Linked DNA regions of Lepisosteus oculatus. The protein of the gene in region 3 purifies or fractionates together with the protein of the main gene of each other region. This does not show direct contact. Links are inferred from orthologs where the notes say so. Each region holds a gene or a part of one and is shown on either strand. Other genes may lie near its edges.

Region 1 (8,098 bases), on a different chromosome or scaffold from region 3:
GAAATCAACTCAGCTAACTTCAAAGTTAAGAAAAGCACAAATCAGGATATGAGTTTTTAAAAAAATAGTTTCCATTTGTGTCTTCTCGTTTGTGTTTCACTGTTAATTCTAAGGAAGTCCAATAAGCCCAGTGCCTTTAATTAAGTCACTGCTAGACTTCTCTTTTAGAGACAATAAAGATTTCTTTTAGCTAGACAAAATAGGAAATTCCTTTGAGACCTGGAATATACCTTACCCACTCTGGATTGATTCCAAAGCAGCTGTACTGTATCTTTTTTGTAACTTGGTGGTTAAACTTTAACGTTTATTAAAATGAGGTCATTCCACTAGGGCATTCCACAATTTTAACATAAAGTCCCTTTAAAGTATTCTAATTGACTACATATTATAATATTACGTGCCAATTTTATAGCTTTCACACAGTGTCTAGAAGATGAAAACTATAGTATGTCAACATAAAAACTTTTTTCACACATTGCTAATTTCAAGATCACTGTTTCCTCTTCTGTATTTCTAGTTTGTTTTTGCTACATGAAGACTCTTCAATTGTCTGCATTAAATATCATCCGGCAGAGGTGTGCCCTGTGTTGAACTCTGAAAAAGATTATTTCTCATTTATTTTGTGGTGTTTTCTAACCTGTTTTTGGTAACACCCGTATCAGCATTACAGAGTGATCCTAACACAGACCCCTGTGATACTGTTTTGTTTTGCTAACTGCATCACCCCAATCTGAATTCTCTGTTTTATAGTCTTTAAACAATTCTTAATTCAAATACATGATCAAGTCTAAATATACAGATATATTGACCAGTATGTTTATATATATTATATGTAATATACTGGTATTATTTATATCCTGATATTATATACAACAGTACTGCATATACAACCATACTAGTTGGAAGGAGGACAAATAGTTTGACACACTGAATAATATGTTAGAAGGGAAGGAGTTATATGTAACATAAAACAGGAAGAATCTGGAATATTATTGAAAACACAGAAGTGGTTCTAAAAAGAGTCTCTCGGCTTTTCCCACAAATGTTGTCAAAAGGTCAATATCCCGTGGCTTTAATGACTCTGCATGACGTGAATTGGAGATTTTCATAAACTCCCAACAGACAGATGTTTTACAGTAATTTGAAAAAATAACCAGCCTGTGATGATGGGTTTCCATTTAGCCAGAAGAAAAAAAAGTCTCTGGCAAAGAAACATTTGTCATCCTGTTCCTGGTTTGTGATTTGCAATTTGGGGGTAGATTAGATCAAAATCAGGTTTGATTCAATCCGAGCTGTAGATGGATTTTCTGTCCTGGTATAAACTGCAGATCAAAGCTGCACAGGTACACAGTCAGACAGATTGAATTTAGATGGCTGTTTGTGGTGAGAAAGATAAGACATTACAAGATTAGATAGATAAACTAAACCGATTGTTGTTAATTCATAGTTGAACAGAAAATGTTCTGTTCAGAAATAATTAAGAAGCATTGAGCAAATGTTTGCTTCATTCACTACACAATTATTTATTTTGTAGCAGCAACTTCAACTCTCTGTGTTAGTTAAACACAATCATGGACTAGCTTATGAATCATGGATTTATATATGGACAGATATTATGTTTTCTTTTAGGAAAATTAATTTATAAACATAAAGTATAAATAAGCATAAACCTACTATTAAAGAATATGTTTGACTTCAAAATGACTCTAATTTGTCCATCCCTTCATTTTCAAACCACTTTATCCAATACAGGGTTGAGGGGAAGCTAGAATCTGCAGTATCTGGGCAAGCAACAGACACAGACATAGACACAGACACTCAATCACACTGGGGTCAATTTTCACAGAAGCCAATTAAATACAGTACCAGCATGTTTGTGGACTGTGGGAGGAAACAAAAGCAACCGGGGGAAGCCCTTGTATTGTAAACAGAACATTGAAGGTGATTTTTATTTTAATTGTGATACTAACAAAGCTTTCCCTTACATTGGTATACAGTACCTACTGTAGGTAACTACAATAGGTTGTGGGTTAATGATGATCAATGAGCAGTCCAGAAACACACTGTATAAGATCACATTAAGACCACAGAGAGAGGGAGAGACAACAAGAAAAGGAGAAAGTAGAGGTGAGGAAAGGAGGTCAGACCACATGAGAGAAGTTTGAACTTGAAGCTTACACCAGGCGAAAGCCCCTACTCCATGATCATCCAAACAAAAACCTGATTGGAGCTTATTATCTGAGCCCTGCTAGAGAGAGTTTGCAATTCTCTGTTTTTAGGGAACTTGGCTTTCCTGGGTAAAAGATACCTTGCTTAGAGATGTCTTTCCTGCTTGTGAGTGAGCTTTTAGAATAGCTCCCATTTATTTTGTGGCATCCAGGTGCAGAGAGAGAGATTTAACTGCAAGTTGTTTTACATTTATTTAGAAGGCAGCTTATCTCTTATTTGGCCTCTGTAGGCAATATTTAAAAGTTTCATACTCAGTAGAAGTCTGGGGGGTTTTCTGAGTGATAAGAATGCTAGGCCTCTGAAATGCCTTGTCTATAAATATTGTATACATAGAGTAATTGTGTTTTATATGTTTTGTTGTGTGTAGTATAGTGTTTGTATTGTCATCATTAATAAATATTTGTTTAACCAAGTGTGCCTGTATTATTACTCTTTTCAACAAAGCTGTGCCAGACAATAAAGAATTCAAGTGCCTCTAATTATACCAACTGCTTGGGTATTCTAGAAAAATCGGTTATGAACAATTCTTTTACTTATTGGCTACTGCTTGGTCAATTCCTGACTTTCACCATTTTTGTAACCCCCCATTTTATCAATATCTTATAAAACAGAATTGAGAATTCTTATCTCAATCCATGCCTGCCTTAGCCTGCACGGACATTTAAGAGTTATCAGTGTAAAAATATAAGTTAACACAGTAGAGGTCAGGCCAAGTGAAGAGAAGAGTCCCTAGAACCAAGCTTTGTGGAACACCAAGATTCAGTAAATCGGTGTCAGATGCCATTAGTCCCAGAGCCACAAATTTCTTTTCAACAGAAACCTGGATCCAAAACAAATAAGAGCTACCCCAGAGATTCTAACATAAGTCTAAAATGATTTATTTTATTTTATGAAGTATTTCATGATTAACAGTGTCAAAGGCAGCACAAAAGTCCACCAGAACAGCCAACACTCCTGAATCTGAAGCAGATCATTCAACACCCTCACCAGGGCTGTGCTATGGTGTTGTCTGAAGCCTAATGGAAAAGTATGGAGAAGAATTTGTTTCTCCTTAAAACGTTGTGTAAGTTCTGCAAGTTCTAGAAAAGAGGTACCATAACCAAACACAGAGTTTTGTGAACATAAAAGATATCAACTGGCTTCATCTCCAGCGGCATTCGGTCTGTTAATCCTACTGCTTGGCTACTCTGGTTGTAGTCCACTAATTCCATTGCACTTATTCAGATGTTAAGGTTTAAGTACCAACCAAAGATGTGATATCTTATCACAAAGTCTAAAGTCTTTACCCTTGAGGTTTTGTAGCTTTTGATTTTCAGTGCTTGGAGGAAAAACTGAAGGTGGTGGCATGCTTCATTTACAATAGTACAGTATCCAAAGAGGACAGACAAGTGAAATGCATATTTTTTCACTTGTGATATGATACATGCATTTCAATAAGTGACTATAATATACTGTATTCATTCAAAGTGTCCTACTTGGGGGACCATTCTGTTTTATGTGACATTACTCTGAAAAATTATAACCATTTTCTTGAAGTGAAACTACCATCTTAGAGTCAGACATGGTTAACAAATTTATGATGCCAAATGAACAATGAGTGAGACATGCCATCACAGTGTGTTGCTGAATTTCCCAAATGAGAAAATATTGCTACTCATCTTAAATCCCCTTCTTTCTATTGAACTCCTGGACAGGATTCTTGTTAAATTTCAGGTGTTTTTCTGGGTATAGATAAGAATGCAACAGGTGACAGTCACTACGAACAGCAACAAGTTACAATACTTGCAACTAGATGAAGTCTATTGTACATATATCCAGTCTTATAGTTTCTCTTAATATACAATATGTAAAGTTGTATATAATGTTAGAGGATAGAGGACGTCTCATTCTGCATATACTGTAGTCAATACAAGGTAAATACTGTACTGTGGGAACCTATGGGCAACCCCGTGCAGCATTGGTCAAACCAGACTTAAAGGTACAGGATCCTAGTCAATCTGGCAGAACACATTCATGAGCCTAAGCGAGACGTCACATGTTTTCTCAATAAAATGACAATAGTAGGCAATAACAAAACATGAAGGCAGATATTCACCTGCACTCAATGATTTTTTTTTATTATTATTCACTGCAACGAGCACATGGGATGTTACCAGAATCTCCTGGGTTTCTATTTTTTTTTCCATTGATTCAACTTTTTCCTGTCATTTCTGGTCACACACGGTCAAGCATGGCCATTCGCACAAAATATATCAGTCAATCCAAAATTGTTGGAGATGGTATTTGGATCAATGGACAATACTGCTGGCAGTGTGGGAAGGAAAATTACTGTCACTTGCATTTGACACAGTTAATTGCTCCAAGTAGGATATCTGTCCCAACTCACATTACCATGCAGATTAATGATGGAAAGAAACAGAAGCATTAGAACAGGTTACAGTATCATAGTGTCTGCAATGTCAGACTCCATTCCAGATACAGACTGCAGCTTCACAGTCTTAATATCCCTGTCCCCAAAATACATTTACAGTATGTAATATGACCAAATGGCAAAAAGTGGCAAGAACAGGAATTAACCCCTAATCCTATCATGTTATTGTTTCCAGAACAGACAATTTGCAATTTGGATATCTATTTACTTACTGTTCAGATAATATCTGTACAGCACATAGTGTAGGTTTACAAGTACTGATAGAAACAAATGGCCTAGCCTCTCTATGTGTATTTTATGAAAAAGTTATGTTATGCATTTGTATTAAAATTGTTATAGTGGAAATACTCAACGTCTGGTGAGAATTTGCAGAGTACTCTGGAAATCCCCCGTGCACAGTGATTGGCTGGAGCAGGTCGGGGTTTTGATGTAGCTAGCTTCGACAACCGCAGTCGACACATATCGAGCAGTCAGTACGGTGCAGTACCCGACTGAGAACAACCCAGACAACAGTGCAGAAATGAAGATTTTCCATATCATCGTGGTGGTAAGTACCTGGGCGTAGCGATGTACAGTATGTACAGTAGTTCGTAGAGCTAGAGTTTTGACCATTTTAAATGTTGTAAAAACGACATACTTTCATGTACTTTGAAATATGTCTGGGTTCCTAGTGCAAATGCGATATACTGTAGTGTGTTATTACTGTTATGCTTGGTACAGGAGCGCGTTAGGTTTCTATCTGTTATTTTCTTTTTAAAAATCACTCACCAGTGTCTAGGTGGCAGGGGCAGTCAGGCGAGACACTGCAGTATGACGTTAATGTTTTTACTTTCGATTTCTCTGCACGCAGTCCAATTTACAGCTTTATTTTATGTTTATGTACAGCATGTAGTCGCTACTACTGCTAGATTGAGAATCTGGAGAAAAGTAGACGCTATTGAGACTTGGTTGTTGTGTTAGGGATGTCACCTCACAAGAGAGGACCCAACTCCCACCTTCTCCCACCCATGCAGATGATGTGTCGTTATGGCGTAATAACAAATACAATTTGCTGTATTTTCGCTTTCTTTCTAACAGAAATACGACGCATTGTTTTAAGAACACAAATCCTCCTGGATATGCCTAGATGCTACTTTTATTGCATTGACCTATACTTTTACCAGTACTTTCCCCTTTGCTTGCATACAGTACGTATACGAATTATCGATATAATTTATAAATATAATTGAAGTAATGAAAAAAAAACTACAGACTTTATGCTTCAACTGTTTTTTTTTACCGGTACGTGAAATAACGTTAAAATCCGAGACAGTTCTAATAAAACTGAAGAATCTGTGATATTTAGTAGTCGTACATGCCGTAAATGATCATCATGTCAATTCTTTTGGTATATCTTGGGCATTGCAGTGATGTTTTTCTAACAGTTTTAAAGCATTTCAATGAAAAACAGTGCTTTTCAATTGAAATTCGGGGGGTATGTTGGGGACTTTTGGCTGAACAGCATAGTTTTAGAGAGGGACTTTCCGTAAAGGAAGCAAGTTTAACCGCTATATCTTTATGTCTCTGGCCTTGAGAGATAAATCTCTTCATTTTTTAAACATTAAACTTCTGAATGTAAAATGAATAGTGACCCGTATATATAAAAAAAAGCACTTTGCCTCCTTGCATGTGCAGCTGATCTTTCCGTTTCTTATTATTCAATGTTTCTTATTTATTTATTCCAAAAGAAAGTCTTGCAAAAATATTATTTAACGGATTTTATAGGGTGTGGTGTTGATTTCAAAATGTCAGATGTCTTTAAAATCATATCGATCAAATGAAAACGTTTTAATAAACAGGACGACGGATAACTTTATATACAGTTACTATTTATAAAGTTTACTGGTATCATATAATTTTGTTTGTGCTATCCGTGAATGCAACAGTTTCTATTATACAAACAGATGTCAGTATTTCTGCACTTGGTAGTTCAGTGTAATGACCTCTGTTTATGTTAATCATTTTACATCTTGTGCATCAGACAATGTTTTACAATTTATGTTGACCAGGGTTCACGGCTCTTACAACCAGCAGTTTTGCGGCGGTGTTGAAAATGCCGACCCCCATCGTTAATTTCACACGCTCTCTGCTATCTAGCTGAACAGAAATATACACTTCTGGCTGCTGATTTGTTTTTAAGGTCTGTCTGACTAATACAAAGATTGCGATATGAATGTGCACTCACTTTCAGAAGACAGACAATCACAAAGTCATTATTGTGTACACAATTATACACACACCGTTATTGCAATTTTTTCCCTTAAAATATCCGTGTATACAGGTACGGTATTTATAAAGAATAGATATAATCTTCTTCTATTTATTTAGAATTTTTTATTTAGAAAAAAGTAGGTTTTCTGTGCCGTTTCGGTCCTAGTAAAAGTTTCGGGTTTTCACACAACAGATGAGGTGTTATCGTTTTGATCTAACCACATATGAACACGTATGCCATGCAGGTGTTTTACAGTGAGGCTAGCTTGTTTCTTTGTGTGTTTAGTTTGAGGTTACTTTGGGAGGAACCTTAACGTTTAAGAACTGCTTTGTCACTAGTAGCAAAATAGACAAAACAAAAAGGCATACTGTATATCTGGGTCTGGAAACATTTTACTTCTTGAAAAAAAAACAACATCCTTAGATGTAGAAAACATTGTGCACATTATTTAATTTTTTGTGTGCTCATTGTGTTGGAAATGGAAATAAGTTACAGCATATATTTTTAATGCACAATACAGGTAACAAAATATTGTGTATTGTGTATTAACACAGTACAAAGTTGATCACATCACCACATCTGGTTTAAATATTTGGATATAATTTTAAATACCACTTAGAAATGTCACTATACAGCAATGCTCTCCAACCTTGGTCCCAAAGAGCTTCGATCCAGTTGATTTTGTACAGTACCTGTTTCTAAAGCTTGGGAAAGCCCACTAATTCTTGGCCATATAAACACGTACAGTATACAGTTCAATTAAGAGAATTTTGTTTGTCAGAGGTCTGAGGGGTACTTAGAATTGTTTTTCAACAGGTGATTAGTAAATTAATTTAGCAAATCCCTTCCTGCTTAATTATTCACAATGAAGCTGCTCAGAGACTTTAGAAATAATTGTAACTGTAGGGTCCATGTGATGGTTGTTAACATTCTGCCGGTACAGAATAGAACATGATGGAGACGAATAATCTTCACACTTGTTCTCCCTTTCTCACTTTTTGATTTCCACATTTCCTTGTCACGTTCTCCCCCCATAACTAATCAGAAGGCACAGAGTCACAGTACCGTAAACCTAGCCACCAAATGAACCAAAGGACTCCACACGACTCAAAAACACTACAAACTCCTCAACGGAAGAAAACGCAAATAGGACCTAAGGTTACATCATGATTTCATGACCATGCATG
Region 2 (7,618 bases), about 60 Mb from region 3:
TGTTTTACTTCCATTCACAATGCTGTGAGCCCCCAGTCAGGATTAGTCCCTAGTGGGGTCCCCCCCCCATGCACCGACAGGTGAACCCTGGACCAGTCGATAACCAGCGTAGCCCAGGGCTGTCGGGGCTGCAGGCCCGTGTGAAGCACCTGGAGGGGGTCACAGGTGAGACGAGCTCATTCCAAACTGGATACATCTGTGCGCCTTCACTGGAAGAGCTGCTGAAAACACAGGGCACACGGGACATGACGCCCACAGCTCCTCCACACACGCAGCAGGTAAACGAGCCAGCCAGCCATGCTGCAGAAGCTGACGGGGTTGCTGGGATGACAGGCCTGTGCCGACCCAGCAAGCAGAGATGGGGCCACATGGCCCTCCGACTGCCTGCGACCTTTCTGATGTGCTGTAAAGCAGCAGCGAGTGCAGGTATTTACCCTGAGTGATTCTGAACATGCTTCCTCCAGTACCAGGTGGAAAACCACAGGGCCTCTCAGATACACTGTTTTAGTCTCAAGGGAGTGCCAGTTAATGCTTCACTGTTGAGCTTGTCCTGTCCAGAGTGTATCCTGCCTCACACCCAATGCTTCCTGGGATAGGCTCTGGACTACTGTTAGCCTGAACTGGGTAAGCTTTACAAAGTGTTCATGTGGCATTATACATATTACAGCTCCTGCACCAGTACGTATGGCAGCGGAATCTCTCACTTAGGAGAGCACTGATCTGGCTACACAAGGTGTCAAGTTCCCACCATTCCCAGCTCACCAACCAGCATGGCATATAAGCCAGCATGGCAGCTCTTGACTAACCCCTTCATTGACAAAAACGGGTACAAAAACACAGAAAAACTAGCCGACAAAGTGTGGGGCTGCGGGTTTGAATGCCTAGTGGGACACTGCGGCCATATTTTGAATGGCTCTGGTAAAGGTCCTGCTGTATAAATGAGCTTCTAAATCATTGTTAGCAAAACAAAGGAGCAATCTTTGAACGTGTGTGGTGGGTGCAGCTCGTCCCCTGCTGGGATCACCATCATTTAGGCGCCCTCTCTCCTTCCTAGAGCCGGAGAATCCAAGACTATGGAGGATCACAGGGGATTCATCACCATAACTCAAAACACAAAGGAGCTCTGTTACACTCCACCCCTCTAAATGCCTTCAGTTACAGGCATTAGCTCATTCCCCCCGATGGCAGTGAACGGTGATGAACCAAAAGGCGGTCAAGAGCAAATGAGAAATGGGAGGAGGCCTGATCTAGCTCCTTCGGTAGCTAGTTAAATGATCCGGAGGTCTCATCCAGCTGTAGAGTTCTTGGTAGAAGCCGGGATATAGACTTCAATCACACAGCTGATACCATGTTCCCCACTCCCACCACCCTTTGTCTAAAGTAGTGCCTCCTGTCCTGACTGGAGGATCTCCTCCAGCTGTCTCGAAAGAAGCCAGGACAGCGGCTTCAACCACACGGCTGGGTAACTTGTTCCACACTCCCACATCTCTTTGGGCAAAAAAGTGCCTCTTGTTCTCGGTCTGAAACACAGGTTCCAGCTGTTTTTTTTCCTTATATCCAATAGTTCATCTTTTGCTTTCCATTCAGAAGAAATTTCCTCGGCCTGATTCCAGAGTACCAATAGCTTTTCTCTAATGTAGTGACCATAACTGCACACAATATTCTAAATAGGGTCTTACTTGTGTATTCCACAGCTGTAAAATAAGATCCCTTCATTTAAATTCTATGTTTGTAAATTTTATATTCTGGCATTTTGCTGCCCCACACTGACTAGAGAGGTGTTTCTGTTGGCACATTATTTACATGAGTCTATTTTATCAGTAGTCTCCTCTAACTCAGCGATTGCCCTTTTGCATTTAAAGAGTGTTTTTTTCCACCTGCATAATCCTGCATCTGTCTCCATTAAACATTCCCACCAAGTGTTTGCCCAGTTTTGAAATGTATCTTAATGTTTTTATTTTCCATTTGCAGTTTCTTCAGTGATTGACAATCATCCTAATTTAGTAGCATCTGCAATGTTGACTAGTTGACGACCCACATCAGAATCACTGATCAATACAGTATTAGGAAGAGCCGTGGTCCCAGTACAGATCCTTGTGCTAGTTCACCATTTACATCACCCCGTATCTGTATTCACATTCCCTTTCCCTGCAGAATTCAGGGCAGGCAGGACTTCTAGGGGACTGTGTTGCCATAGTGGGTTAAAAACCAAATGAGCTCTGGTTATGCTGTTCTGACCTCTCTAACGACGATCTCACATCCGTGTCATGAACCTGGGAAAGGGTCACTCAACGGATTGGATGCACTCATTCGGAACACGTGCGAAGAGTGCACACCAGCAGGCTCTGTGGCCGCTAGGGACTACAGTCCTGGACACTATGGCCGCTGACGCTAGGAGCACTCACAGTGCTCACACTGCAGGAAACAGGGTGTCACACAGACAGTGCAAGAGAGGTGATATACTGTAAATATATACACCCACAGGCAGTGAGGTCACGTTCAGACTAGGAAAGAAATACTGTAAGATTCTCACATATTTTTTATTATTATTATTAGAGTACTGGTGCTACCTGCTCCGAGCAGGTGAGACAGAAAAAGGCCCCACAGGGAGTGGAACAGCTCTGTATCGGCTGTCGAGATCTGCCACCACCAGGGAGAGGGAATGTGCTTCACAGGCGATATCGAGCTCTTACCTGCGTCGATAACGGAGACGTGTTTCTGTCAAGGTGTTAAAATCGACGCCGCAAACACGCCAGTCTCAGTGGATATTTTCTCATAGACAAATCCCTGAATAAATGACGAACAGGCATGATCGTAAAAAAAAAAACTTAAAAAAAAGATCTTTATATTTCTTTTTGCCAGCTGTGGCTGAACTCCACGTATAAAATGTTGATTTTTTTCAGTGGTCTACGAGTAACTGAATAACGGTAAGGTCAGAGATATAAAATTATGTATGCAAGCTTACAAACTTTAAATCCGTTTAAAAGAAGAGAAGTTGTTTGCAAACTTTCTCCGTTTGTCAGACTCACTTCCTGAAAAGGCAGCTTCCTGGCAGTCACGTGGTTGGTGAGGTCGCTGGCGCGTGATGACGTCACTAGGAAGACTGCCGCCGCGTTTCCAGTAGCTGCTTTAGTGTATCGTGACCGAGCTGCTCTTGACGCATTGTAATACTTTTTTTCTTCATGTAGAAACTAGGTCGACACTTTTATGTGTTTTATGTTTGAAGAGGGGGAATTGCGGTGTAGCGTGACTGTCGGTTCTCAGCCTCTTGTGGAGCTCTTGACACCACAGATACTGTTCGTCTTTTTGGTTTTGTTTCAAAGCACTCGTTCACATTTACAGCGAGGCCATACAGACAAGTGTGCCTGCGCTGTCTTATCCCTCACCCTTCCACCCTAGTCCACAAAGTCCCCCGTGTCTTCAGTATGGGAGCGTACTGTACCTGTTCCTCCAGACACATGCTCGGCTGCTGTGTTGCCCTCTGCGCTGTCAAGTGCGATGAGTTGCATGACTAAGACTGTGAACGGTTATTCTGGAATTCACCTCTCCCAGTACCTCAGCGCGCCCCAACTGCGACTTTCCGTTTCGCCTAGAGTCACCATATTTCACACATCCGAACAAGGACACACAGGAGGCGTAGGGGGGGGTGCAGGTAATATTTATAGAAGTGTATCCGGGGTTAGCTGATTGGGATATTCTCTCAAGAGGACGGGGGTGTGGGGGCTGGGAGAAGGGGGTACTGGTGATGTCTCCAGTAGATATTTGTTGTACGAGAACCGTTTTAAAAGAATGTGGGGAAAAAGATTAAAGGAAAAACTTTTAAGACATTTGAAAATTCCACCAGGGTGGGGTTTTAAGGGGCAAAAAAGGAGGACATGTCTGGGAGAATCCGAATGGATGGTCACCTGGATTTTGCCCAACACCTTCTGTCTACTGGCGGTGGTGCCATAGAGTGCCGGTCTGCGGCTTTGGATTCTCTGCCGGGACATCCCGTCAGTAGTCTGGGATAACACCAAGAAGACGAAGAAGATCAGGAAGGAATAGAGAGGGTGAGGAGCCAGCTGCCAGCAAACCCCACGGCTCTACCCTTGTTGTACCCTTGTGCAATCTGACATTTTTTGGCAGGATGGATTTTGTGTTTGTGCTTTGCTTAGCGGTAAATCCAATAAGAGTAATAGATAGATAATACTTTATTAATCCCGTAGGGAAATTGATGATAATAATAACAGTAGCAGCAATTGGGGTGCAGTCTTGCTGTCCTGGTCTTTGCGGCTGCTCGCTGATTCTAGCCTAGGGTGACTGTCTGAGGGGAGTCTACATGTTCTCGCTGTGCACCCTTGGGACTTCACCAGGTGCACCGGTTTCCTCCCAACTCCCAACGATGTGCTGGCTGAGCCCCTCTCTGCAATGTCAGGTTGTTGCTTTACCCTCGGCCCAGCAATGGACTGGAGAGCTGCCCCACACTCTCGGTCCCTCCTCTCCTCCCGAGCTGCTGACCCCCAGCTGGGTCAGTCACAGGAAGGGCTGACCGTCCCGCAACAGCAGATGACCTGGTCTCCGTTGAGGCAGTCCAGGAGACACGTGTGACGTTCGAGAGAACCAGCAGTGGTGCGTTCTCTCACAATCCGAAGAAACAACAGTTCAGACTAGGACAAGGGTGGCTGAGAATGGCCGCACAGCACCAGAACATGGTGCCAAAAAAGATCAGCTACTGCTTTAGAATTCAGTTCTGTTTGCTGCAGCCCAGTATGTGATTTCCTGTCACGACCTGAGGTTTTTATTAACCTGAGATGATGATGAATTATCTATTAATGTAATATATACATTAGTCCGGAGAAGCTCAGAGAAGGACCGGGAGAGAGAGCGGGTGAGGCCAGTGGGAACTGTGCCCTGTCTCTTCTCCACACTGGGGGGGGGTTGTGAAATCCGAGGAGTGGGGGTGGGGGCAGACAGGCAGAAAGGAGGAGCAGGTGTAATCGGTTCCAGGAAGTGAGATGTGTGTGCGCAGTTCGGGGGAGGCAGACAGCACAGGTCCACATTACAGTCAGAGACAGGCCGTGCTCTGGTGCTGCTCGGCAGGCTGTGTGGCCCAGTGGGTGGCGGGACAAGTGCTGCGTTTCGATTAGCTCAGAAGATTTGGTTCCGATAGCCCATTGACAGGGGCTCGGCACAAGATTCCTGGGATCCACAGCTGTTTCCCTCACACATACCGACTGGGGAGCTGGAGAGGAGACTGAATTCTCACACCTGTGACTCCTCTAACTGACCCCAGTCTGACCTCTCATGATCCCATGTCTCTGGGCCGGCATTACCTATTATCAGACACACATGTGCTTGTTGCACCTCAAGCATGTTATGAACAACAGGGTGAAGCAAACCACCCTGATGAAGTACAAGCTCAGTGACCACAGCCTGGCCATAGAAACTGGACACAGGCAGACCTCGACACCCAGAGAGGACAGGCTCAGTGACCACAGCCTGGCCATAGAAACTGGACACAGGCAGACCTGGACACCCAGAGAGGACAGGCTCAATGACCACAGCCTGGCCATAGAAACTGGACACAGGCAGACCTGGATAACCAGAGAGGACAGGCTCAGTGACCACAGCCTGGCCATAGGAACTGGACACAGGCAGACCTAGATAACTAGAGAGGACAGGCTCAGTGACCACAGCCTGGCCATAGAAACTGGACACAGGCAGACCTGGATAACCAGAGAGGACAGGCTCAGTGACCACAGCCTGGCCATAGGAACTGGACACAGGCAGACCTGGATAACCAGAGAGGACAGGCTCAGTGACCACAGCCTGGCCATAGAAACTGGACACAGGCAGACCTGGACACCCAGAGAGGACAGGCTCAGTGACCACAGCCTGGCCATAGAAACTGGACACAGGCAGACCTGGACACCCAGAGAGGACAGGCTCAGTGACCACAGCCTGGCCAGAGAAACTGGACACAGGCAGACCTGGACACCCAGAGAGGACAGGCTCAGTGACCACAGCCTGGCCATAGTCTTTAGCCTGGTGTGTGATCTCCTCTCACAGCCAAAGGAACAGAGAAGGAGCCTCTCAAATTATAATATCCTGCAGTTGTACATGTCTGTAAATGTTCTGCTAATTATTAATCCTCTGACAACATTGTAATTCCTCAGTCAGGCCAATAAAGCTCAATGAATTTGAAAGTTCTTGAGCGGACAGCGTAAATATGTCGCCTCTCCTCTCTAACCTGATCCGTCTGTGTGAGTTTATGTTCTTAGGTAAAAACATGGGATTGTTCTACTAAGCCCATTGTTCCGCTAGACATTTAGATAGATTTAGCGATTATGAAAATGTATCTTAAAGTTGTTTATCTTTGTTAGCTATAAGGATTTAGCTAATGCTGGGAAGAAGGCAGGTGGTTGGTTAAGCAGGCTGAGCCCCTGTAGGGGCTGAATACACGCTTGTCTAAGAAATGATAAATGACAGACTATCTCACATTTAAAAAAACACTTGAGATTCCTGGCTGCTTGTATCATCTTCTTGTCCATTAAGGGCACTTTACAATGAACAACATGATATTTTTTCTTTCTATCACTCTGCTAACCTTTGAATAAAGACATAACTTTTCAAAATCGACAGTAAGACAGCACCCAGGGGGCACAAACTGAACTACGTGCAAGGGCATTTAAAACCTAGAGCAGGAGACACTTCTTTACCCAAAGGGTTGCAGAAGTATGGAACAAGCTACCCAGACTGTGTAGTTGAAGCCTTCAAATAGCAGCCAGATGAGATCTCAGATCATTTAAATTATACAGATTGATCAATTAGATTAGATCAATTACACAGATTGATAACTTGTGTTTTTTGTACATTGAGGCAGCGTCTATACAAAGCGACATAGTGGAGAAGTGGCGTCACGCTTAAATAAATCACATTACTGTTATTTTTATTTCCTTTTCCAGACAACCAAAGGCATCTGTGTGAACCCTGTTCCTTTCAGCTGGCTCTGAAGGAGTTGATCTGTGGACGGGACTACCCAAATTGCAGTAAGAATTTTTGAGGTACAGGATGTTTCTAGCTGAGGGGTTCACTGACGATAACTCCAGCTCCCACGCTGCGGAGCGGCAGACTGTGAACACTCTCCAACACATTCCTGCTGGCCAGCGATAACGGCGGGGACACATGAGCAGTGAACTCACGCACACGCTGGCCCCACCTCCTCTCCTTATCAAAACATATCTAAGGTACAAACACAGCTCCGCTGTCTTCGGCCCCCTCCCGCATTCCTCGTCACCTCCTCCGCTCCCTTTCCCGGGGGATTCCCGAGATTGCCCATCATGCCCCTGGCTCACCGTTCTGGGAGGGCTGCATGGAGCCCGGCTGGCTGACATCACCCCGCGCCCGGCCCGTGTTTGCTCAGGCAGGGGTGGCGCCAGGCCCCTGCCCGGCCCGGTTGCCATGGGGCCGTTTTTGAGACCGCTCTGCCTGGAAGGTGGTAGCTTTGGGAAACAGCCGGAACTTTCTGGAATGAGGAAAGACCATTCGGACCAACTGCGGCTTGTCCGCTCTCGACGCTAGCCTGCTCTGCTAGCGCTCAGGAGATGAGCTAAAGAGTGAATAGATAATTAGCGACAGG
Region 3 (7,899 bases):
AGAAACCTTTCGTTTGAAACTGTAATAACTTTCAGTTGCCTTTGGGTTGTCAGTTTCCTTGTAAAGGCTAAGATCTTCGTTTTTTGCCTGCGTTCAGTGGATCGCTGCTCCGCACTTTGTCACCATCACTTTGCCCAAACCTGCCTCTAGAGGAGACTGATGAGAACTCTGTATTTCTTCATTAAAACGTTTTTTTAACCGTTTGTACATTATTTTAACTCAATACCATGCGGTTACGTCTTTTAGAAGTTTTACATTCACAAGAAAGAAAAAGTTTAAATGCTCATGTTTTATTTTTAATTAAAACTCTCCTGAAACCGATGCCTTGTGAACTGTATGATGATTCGGTATGATATGAGGATTTTGATGATTGTCAGATAAGCCGATGATAGAAACCCAACAGAGAGTATGGTTAGATGATGAAAGGTACAGTATGTGTATACCTGGATCACACCAGACGCCAATCCCTTACAGGACACACACGTATTAACGTTCATTCATTTTCTAACTGCTCTGGCGGTAAACAACAGGCACAAGTCCATCACAGGACACACACACACACACGCCAGTTTTCCCAGAAGGCAATTAACCTAGCACTATGTTTTTGAACTGTGGGAGGAAACCTGAGCACCTGAAGGAAACCCACATGAACCTGGGGAGAACATACAAACTCCACACAGACAGGACCCCAGGAATTGAACCCAGAGCCCCAGAGCTGTCGGGCAGAAATACTGACCACTGAGCCACAGTGCAGCCCTCTCACACACATCAAAGAGAAGTGATTCAAGTGTGCCAGTTAAACTGTATAGGATGTATTTGAGCTGTGGAGACTTGAGTACCCAGAGGAGAAAAACAACTATAAGAATATGCAGTTATGAAACCCCCAAGCAGAAAGAACCAGATTTGAATCCAAAAGCTGTGAAATGACAGTACCAGACACAGTGCCACCACACCACCCTGCCTAAAACATCTCCTGTGATCAATGTTTACATTTTAGGTATCAACAGCTGCTATTGCCTGATGCTGATGAAGATTGCGAAGGATGGGGGGTACAAATATCTTGATTGCCATTCAAAGGGTCTATTACCCGTTACTGTTTTCAGTTGGATTACCAGGTTTGTTGGCGTTTTCGTTTGTTGTGTGATTGTTGTTTTTGGCCACGCAGGTGGCAGATGGCAGTATGAAAACAGACCCTGGGAATGTAATGATATTATAAAAACATGGTACTGTTGTTAATTGTTGTTATTGCCAGCAGTTAAATCACCCTGCACCTCACAGCTGGCAGCCCACTGAATCCCAGCAGGTGTGAGCCTGGTCAGTACCTGGAGGGGAGACTCCTGGGAAAGCTAAGGCTGCTGTTGGAAGTGGTGTTAGTGGGACCAGTAGGGGCGCTCACCTTAACGCTGTGTGCTGCCTTGATGCCACAGTAATAGTGATGGGGGACACCACACTAAAAAAAAGGGTGTAGGTGTGGGTCTGTGTGGGTCCTAATGCCCGAGTATAGTGACGGGGACACTATACTGTAAACAGGCGCCATCCTTCGGATGAGACGTAAAACCGAGGTCCTGACTCTCTGTGGTCATTAAAAATCCCAGGGCGTTTCTCGAAAAGAGTAGGGGTGTTACCCCGGTGTCCTGGCCAAATTTTCCATTGGCCTTTACCCATCATGGCCTCCTAATAACCCCCATCTCATTACTCTCCTCTCCTCCCCACTGAGAGCTGGTGTGTGGTGAGCGTTCTGGTGCACTATGGCTGCCGTCCCATCATCCAGGTGGGGCTGCACACTGGTGGGGGTGGAGGGGATCCCCATTACCTGTAAAGCGCTTTGAGTGGAGTGTCCAAAAAAGCGCTATATAAGCGTAAGGAATTCATAATTAATATTATTAAATGTGGAATTTTCTTCACACTTCTCACCTTGTAAGCCTCTGCTTCATGCAAAGCAGGACTAAGAAGCATTTTAATAAATCCTTTGTCCCCAAACCTTATTTAGCCAAAAAAAAAAGTCCTTTACTCTTCTTCAGAATATAAAAAAATGCTGCCAAAAGTGGACAAATCCTATAACTCACCTAAAGAAATGCATTTTGTCATCTACATTTACAGCATAACTGTAGCATTTATCTAGCAGGGAACGATACCACGTGAAAAAAAAAAAACAGGAGCTCCCACCTAACTCACCAAGTGCTGAGCAAAATGTCTGCTTTTTACTCTACAGCCAACCTCTTCACCTTCTACGTGATTAGGTTTCGCAAGTGTGGCATGTCCGAGACGGCCGCCATCTACCTGAGCTCGCTGGCCGTCGTGGACTCCTGCTACCTGGTGTGGGTGATCCTGCTGGACCTGACCTTGACCTTCGCGCAGGCGCAGCCCTTCTGGCACGCCCAGCCCTGGTGCAGGATCCTGACCTACCTGCAGCACGGCTCCCTGTACAGCTCCTCGTGGATCGTGGTGGGCTTCACCGTAGAGCGCTACCTTGCGCTCAGGATCACCGGCCTCAAGAGGCGCCTCTCTCGGTGCAGGGTCACGGTCTGCGTCACCCTGATGATCGTCGTCTTCTCCCACGTCGCATCGGTCCCAGTGTACTGGATCAACGACGTCAAGCCGACGAACCTCACCAGGGACGGCGAGAACGTCACCTTGCCCAGGTGCGGCTATAACAACACGGAGTATTCCACGGTGCTGGTCTGGATCACCACCTTCCTCTCTGGGGGAATCCCCATTCTCCTCGTCATCGTCTTTAACACTCTGATAGGACACCACCTCCGGAGGGCCAGCAAGATGTTCACCAAGGAGGAGAGGCGAGCCATCAAAGGGGCCAGCGCCAAGAGCATGGTCAGAAGAACCATCTTACTGCTCTGCACAGTGTCCATCACCTTTGTAGTCTTGAGTCTCCCGCGGTTTGTGACATATTGCATCTTAAGAACCACCTACAACTACCAAGGCTTCAACAGAGACGACTACAGCCTGCCCATCAATGTCATCAGTGACCTGGCCAACATGCTGCAGAATCTAAACTCCTCCACCAACTTCCTCTTGTACTGCATGGTGAGCAGGAGGTTCAGGCAGGAGCTGCTCGGCTTGCTGGCTCACAGGAGCAGAGCGAGGGAACTTGGGTCCCTCACCGCCCAGACAACCATGAAAGTGTTTTCTGTCATGGATCGTCCAGCCCACAATGCAAGGGTGGTGAACGTGGTTCTCACAAAACTGAAGCAAACTCAGTAGTTCACTGACAGCGTCTTGTAAAAGCTTTCAATATTTGTGAAACTGAGATTTTTCTAAGAGATGTCTGCATTCTTGTACTTGTTTTAACTTGCCTTTCAAAAGAAGTGATGGAGATTTCAAAGTAAATTACAAATGGCATACAGTGCTCTTTCTCCCCAAGTGCTGAATGTGCGCACAGTTCTGGAGCTCTGTTTGTGCGAGAGGCACACAGCACGACGGCACGACAGCACACACTCTGTAATCCATCCATCTTTCCACCCATTCCCGAACCGCATCGTCCCGTTCACGGTGGTGGGAGAGCACTCGGTGCTGGCGCCCCGGGCTGCCGTCTGTGTGACGCTTGTGTGCTCCCCCCGTCTTCACCTGGGGTTCCTCCCACACTCCCATGACATCAGATGAGGCCCGGGCCAGGTCACGCTGTGGGGCCCCCTCATGGTTTGGGAAGAGGGGGGAAAAATATTGGAATGTACAGAATAGTATGATGGGAGGATTAAGGCGGGCATTTTGGCACTCCTGAAGAAGGGTAGATTCAGCACTGAAAGGGGGATGTTTTTTTCACAGCCGTGGACTTTAGGCGAGAATCACAGCATGTGGTAAAAGTTCCTAATCGGACTCGAGTAGAGAAACACAGCCAAAGGGTTGAAGTGGGGGACCTCGCACCTTGAGGTGAGGCCCCCCTTTGAGGTCAGGCCTAGGTAGCTACACCCCAACAGCCCAGCACACACATCCACAGGGATTATTGCCTGTGTTGCGCTCCAGACACAGTCCTGACGCAGAATGCAGTCAGTAAAGCCAAAAACGTTGAAAGATTTTAATTTTCTGTCATGGTTTTCTTTTGAAAATATTTTTTTTCCCTGTCCTTGCACACTCAGTTTGGATTAGTCCATTCCAAAATCAATCCAGTTTACCACTGGAGCCACAGGACTGGGAATGGGAAGAACACAGAGACAAATATGTCCTCCTCCATCATGTGTACTTGTCAGAGTTCAGCCTCTTTTTTACTCTGTGAGCCTCAGTGATATCGACTGGTGGTCCATCTACAGTATGTGCCTTATTTACTGATTTAAATGTAATTACTTTTCTCTGGAGAGATGAGAACACGGAGGCATTCGTTTTTCATTCATGATACAATACGTCTTGAAAATGTGTTCACTGCAAAATGTTATTAGGAATACTCTTCTTTCGCATTCCTTATTACAGCATTTTGAAAGAGTAAAGATAGTATTCTGATGCCGCTAACAACTTAATCATTTCCTTAGTTAATAGTTTTTTTTTAATGGCCTAATCTCTTTTAGAAAACGACATTGCAAAAGCGAAAGGTTTACTGCTTTTAAAACTCCCAGACTAATCGTCAGTCTTTAAGAAAGCCAGGTGAATTGCAGGTGTTCCGCATTTTTAGTCTCACTACATGCCATTTTTCTTACAGACGAACTTTGTCATTAAACTTTTAACAAAACAAAGCTCCGATTATTTTTTTTTAACCTGCAGAAACGTTAACACCTCTCGCCTGCCTTTGTACGCTTCCCGACTTCGGAGCGAAATTCCTTCCGCTGCTGAAACTTTTTTTTCCGATGGGTGGACTCTACCTTTTAAACTTTTTGTGAAGAATTTGCATATTCGGAGTTATTGTTCTCCCTGATTTGCATTTAAAATTATTTCCTTGTGAAGAAAGAGCCGCGGGTTCCCAGCAGGACAGCTACCTGCGCGTTTCCTTCTACGCCCACAGTCAGTCCTCTGCCGCCGCTGTTGGGGAGGTAGGAATATTGATCTCCGGATGCTTTTAATACAAAACACTTTCCTGTATTGATTATTTTAAGCATTCAGACAGAAACCTGTTGTGTAAAAGAAAAGGCGAACTGGTGCAGTTAGTGCGATTAAGCTGAACGTGGGAATATATGTTCATTTTGACTTTGAAAGCCTTCTTGTCAGATCAGGATGAAAAAAGACAAGGAAATTCGGAAAAGTCCAGTCATCAACAGTAAATCAAAAAGCTGTTTTTTTTTTTTACTCAGTTCATGTTCAACTTTGTGGTAGTGTTTACCGTTAATTTTTTTTTGCAAATAGTGTTTAATCACTTAAATTAGCCAGCTCGTCGCTGAATGAGGTGGTAAGGTGGTTAATGACGAACTGGACCGGTGTTAAACATTGGTACTGTACATGAGTCAGTGTTTGGTGTTAATTTCAAGATGATCGCCAAGTTCCCTGCACTCATGCCTACTGTACATGTATGTACATGAGGGTGTAGATCCCTTTGACTTTTTTAGATGGTTTGATTTCTTTAAAAAAAAAACCCATCTGTTCAGTAATACAAATAATGAAATAAACTAGTTTCAAAACACTGTCACGTAGACGTACCTTCGCCTATTCTTTTAAAAACGTTTGTCCTTTTTTCTCAATTATTTGGATTGACCATACAAATAAGATATTGTTTATTATATCAAAATATATGGCAGGGTGGCTCAGCTGCTGGTAAAGATGCACAGTGTTGCACGGCATTGCAACCCAGAAATCTGATAATCTAAATTCAGATCGCTATTGCCTAAATTGTACTATTACTCGCTGCTTTTCGGGTGCTTATGTTTTACTGAGACACAAAAACATTTGTTCTCTCCAGTGGAGTGTAAACTGTTACTGTCTATATATGAACTGTGATCCCACAGGTCCGTTTGTATCACTGGTGTCTACCCTTTGCCCACGTAGGCTGGAAAGTCTTCGGTTTGCGCAAAAGCATAGTGTGACAAGTGGCTTTTCGAGGAAGTCTCCATCTTGGCTCAAAACCCAGGCCCTTTGGCGTAGCCCTGAGCCAAAATGGGGGCTTGCTTTCACTACCGCACACAAGGGTTGGAAAAAAAGTTCTGTGATGATCTCTCAGCTCTCTCTGATGCAGGTCACTGTATTTCTCTGTGTTCTTTTCGTCTCAGTAACATGAATGTGTTGTAGCCATCTTGCCTGATGTCTCTCTCTCAGTGCTGGAGACACTCTTTCAAGATGTACACTCTTCACCAACTTATACTGTACATATGTATCCCCTTAGCCTGCTGTAAATATGATGCCATAGTAACTAGTTTTAATTTTTGTTCAATTGACAGGGTAGTAGGCTCGTTCATTTATTTTCTTGTTCGAATCGTGTGCAATACATTCTTCTCTTCATCGTTTATCTTCTCAGCACAAGACGTTATGTAAGAAATTTCAGCTGGTTACAAGGACAATGGAGTCATTCATAGGTAAGATCCAAACGTATTTGACACAAGGCTTTACATTAAAAAAAGTGAACTAACAAGTTCATTTAATAAAACAATGCCGGTGATATTATTCAACGAGAATCATGTGGTTCTGTGATTTCTGCATCATTATAATCATGGAATTGTTATATGTTCTACTCTAGTCTAATATGATTTAATCATCAGTTCTGACACTTAGATTCTGAGTCAGAATTTGTCTTGAAAAGAAACTAGATTAGCTCTCCGAATAGACCTGTAGAAGTATTAGTTTGTTTGAGAAACAGGAAAGGAGCACGTTCCAGTGATAATGTTAACGTCCTGCAAAGAAGCAAGCAAAAGGTTCATTCCATACCGAAAAGAGAAGAAAGGAAACACAACGTTTCGCTGTGGAGCCTTCTTCGGGAAATTCTTTTCTTCTCTATTCTGCAGGGAACAAACCTTTACCTGTTCCCTTCCAGCCTACGCCTGCTGACGCAGCTCCCTACTGGAACTCTTTTTACACTCTGTCTTCCTTGTGTCTGAAAACAGAGCATAAATGTCAACAGATAAGTGACACTGGGATAAGTAGGGGGAGAGTACACTGTAAGACAAATTGTTTTTTTGCTTTGAAGGATTTCTTTCTCGGGGGTCAGACCCTAATTGTTTTGTTGTCTTTATCTGAAGACTTTCGTCCTCTCAGAAGCATTCCCGTGGAGACGGACGAGTCCATGGTATTCTTGGACGTGCTGGCGAAGTGTAAAGACCAGCCCTGTGGGACAGCGGGAGTCTGCTCTGGACAGCCGGAGGTGACGGTGAACGAAGTGGCACTGTGCAGGTCCGGTGTACAAGACAGCTTAAGTGGCAGAAACTATTTCCAGGAGAAGAAACACCAAACGGGCGCTTCTGAGGAGGATACAGGGCAGAGTCCTGGAAAAAGTCCCTTCCCAGCAGGCAGCTGGGCCGATTCGTCCCCAGAAATGCGCCGGTTCGAAATTACACAGGCGCCAAGAGGACCCGCAAAGCCGACCAATACCTGTTTACAGCAGCCGGGCTCTTCAGAAGTCGGGCCCTGCCCCGCCGTCAAGAGACGCCAGCTGCCCACAGAAAAGGACTTCGAGAGCGAAGTCGGTTCTGACTCCAGAGAGAGTGCCAGGCCGTCTCTGCTGAGCAGACAGCTGGACCTCCCCAGTGAAGACACCGGCTACGGGTCCCAGCCTCGGAAGGACATGGATGTCCAGCTGCAGGACCCCCCGCTGTCTCTGCGGTCAGACCTGGGCTGCCCTGTAGGCCCCGGGGTTGTGATAAACAGGGGTGAAGGATCTGGGCTCTGGCCCACAGCCCACAACAATCCACAGCAGCACCACCATTACCCAGCTCCTCAGCGTAAGTTAGACCTTGGATACTTCTGATCTTGACCTGATCTTGACCTGATCTTGACCTGATCTTGACCTGACCTCGCCTCACCTGACTTCGCCTCACC

What was found.
Region 1: the proteins of traf3ip2a (region 3) and cd40 purify together in Homo sapiens (affinity purification with western blotting, with the first as the bait; 3 studies listed by BioGRID). This does not show direct contact. The link is inferred for Lepisosteus oculatus from reciprocal best matches to the Homo sapiens genes TRAF3IP2 and CD40.
Region 2: the proteins of traf3ip2a (region 3) and ikbkb purify together in Homo sapiens (affinity purification with western blotting; 3 studies listed by BioGRID, with this or other methods). This does not show direct contact. The link is inferred for Lepisosteus oculatus from reciprocal best matches to the Homo sapiens genes TRAF3IP2 and IKBKB.

What each region holds. Positions count from the first base shown.
Region 1 is NC_090711.1:10,843,813-10,851,910, reverse strand, and holds the start of cd40 (tumor necrosis factor receptor superfamily member 5), read left to right. Parts: upstream 1-5,095; 5' UTR 5,096-5,180; coding exon 5,181-5,207; intron 5,208-8,098.
Region 2 is NC_090697.1:65,873,227-65,880,844, forward strand, and holds the start of ikbkb (inhibitor of nuclear factor kappa-B kinase subunit beta), read right to left. Parts: upstream 3,024-7,618; 5' UTR 2,694-3,023; intron 1-2,693.
Region 3 is NC_090697.1:5,434,934-5,442,832, reverse strand, and holds the start of traf3ip2a (E3 ubiquitin ligase TRAF3IP2), read left to right. Parts: upstream 1-4,899; 5' UTR 4,900-4,973; intron 4,974-6,385; 5' UTR 6,386-6,427; coding exon 6,428-6,443; intron 6,444-7,103; coding exon 7,104-7,802; intron 7,803-7,899. Other genes in the region: probable G-protein coupled receptor 139, read left to right, coding at 1,043-1,115, 2,213-3,219. UniProt on the Homo sapiens protein: E3 ubiquitin ligase that catalyzes 'Lys-63'-linked polyubiquitination of target protein, enhancing protein-protein interaction and cell signaling. Transfers ubiquitin from E2 ubiquitin-conjugating enzyme UBE2V1-UBE2N to substrate protein.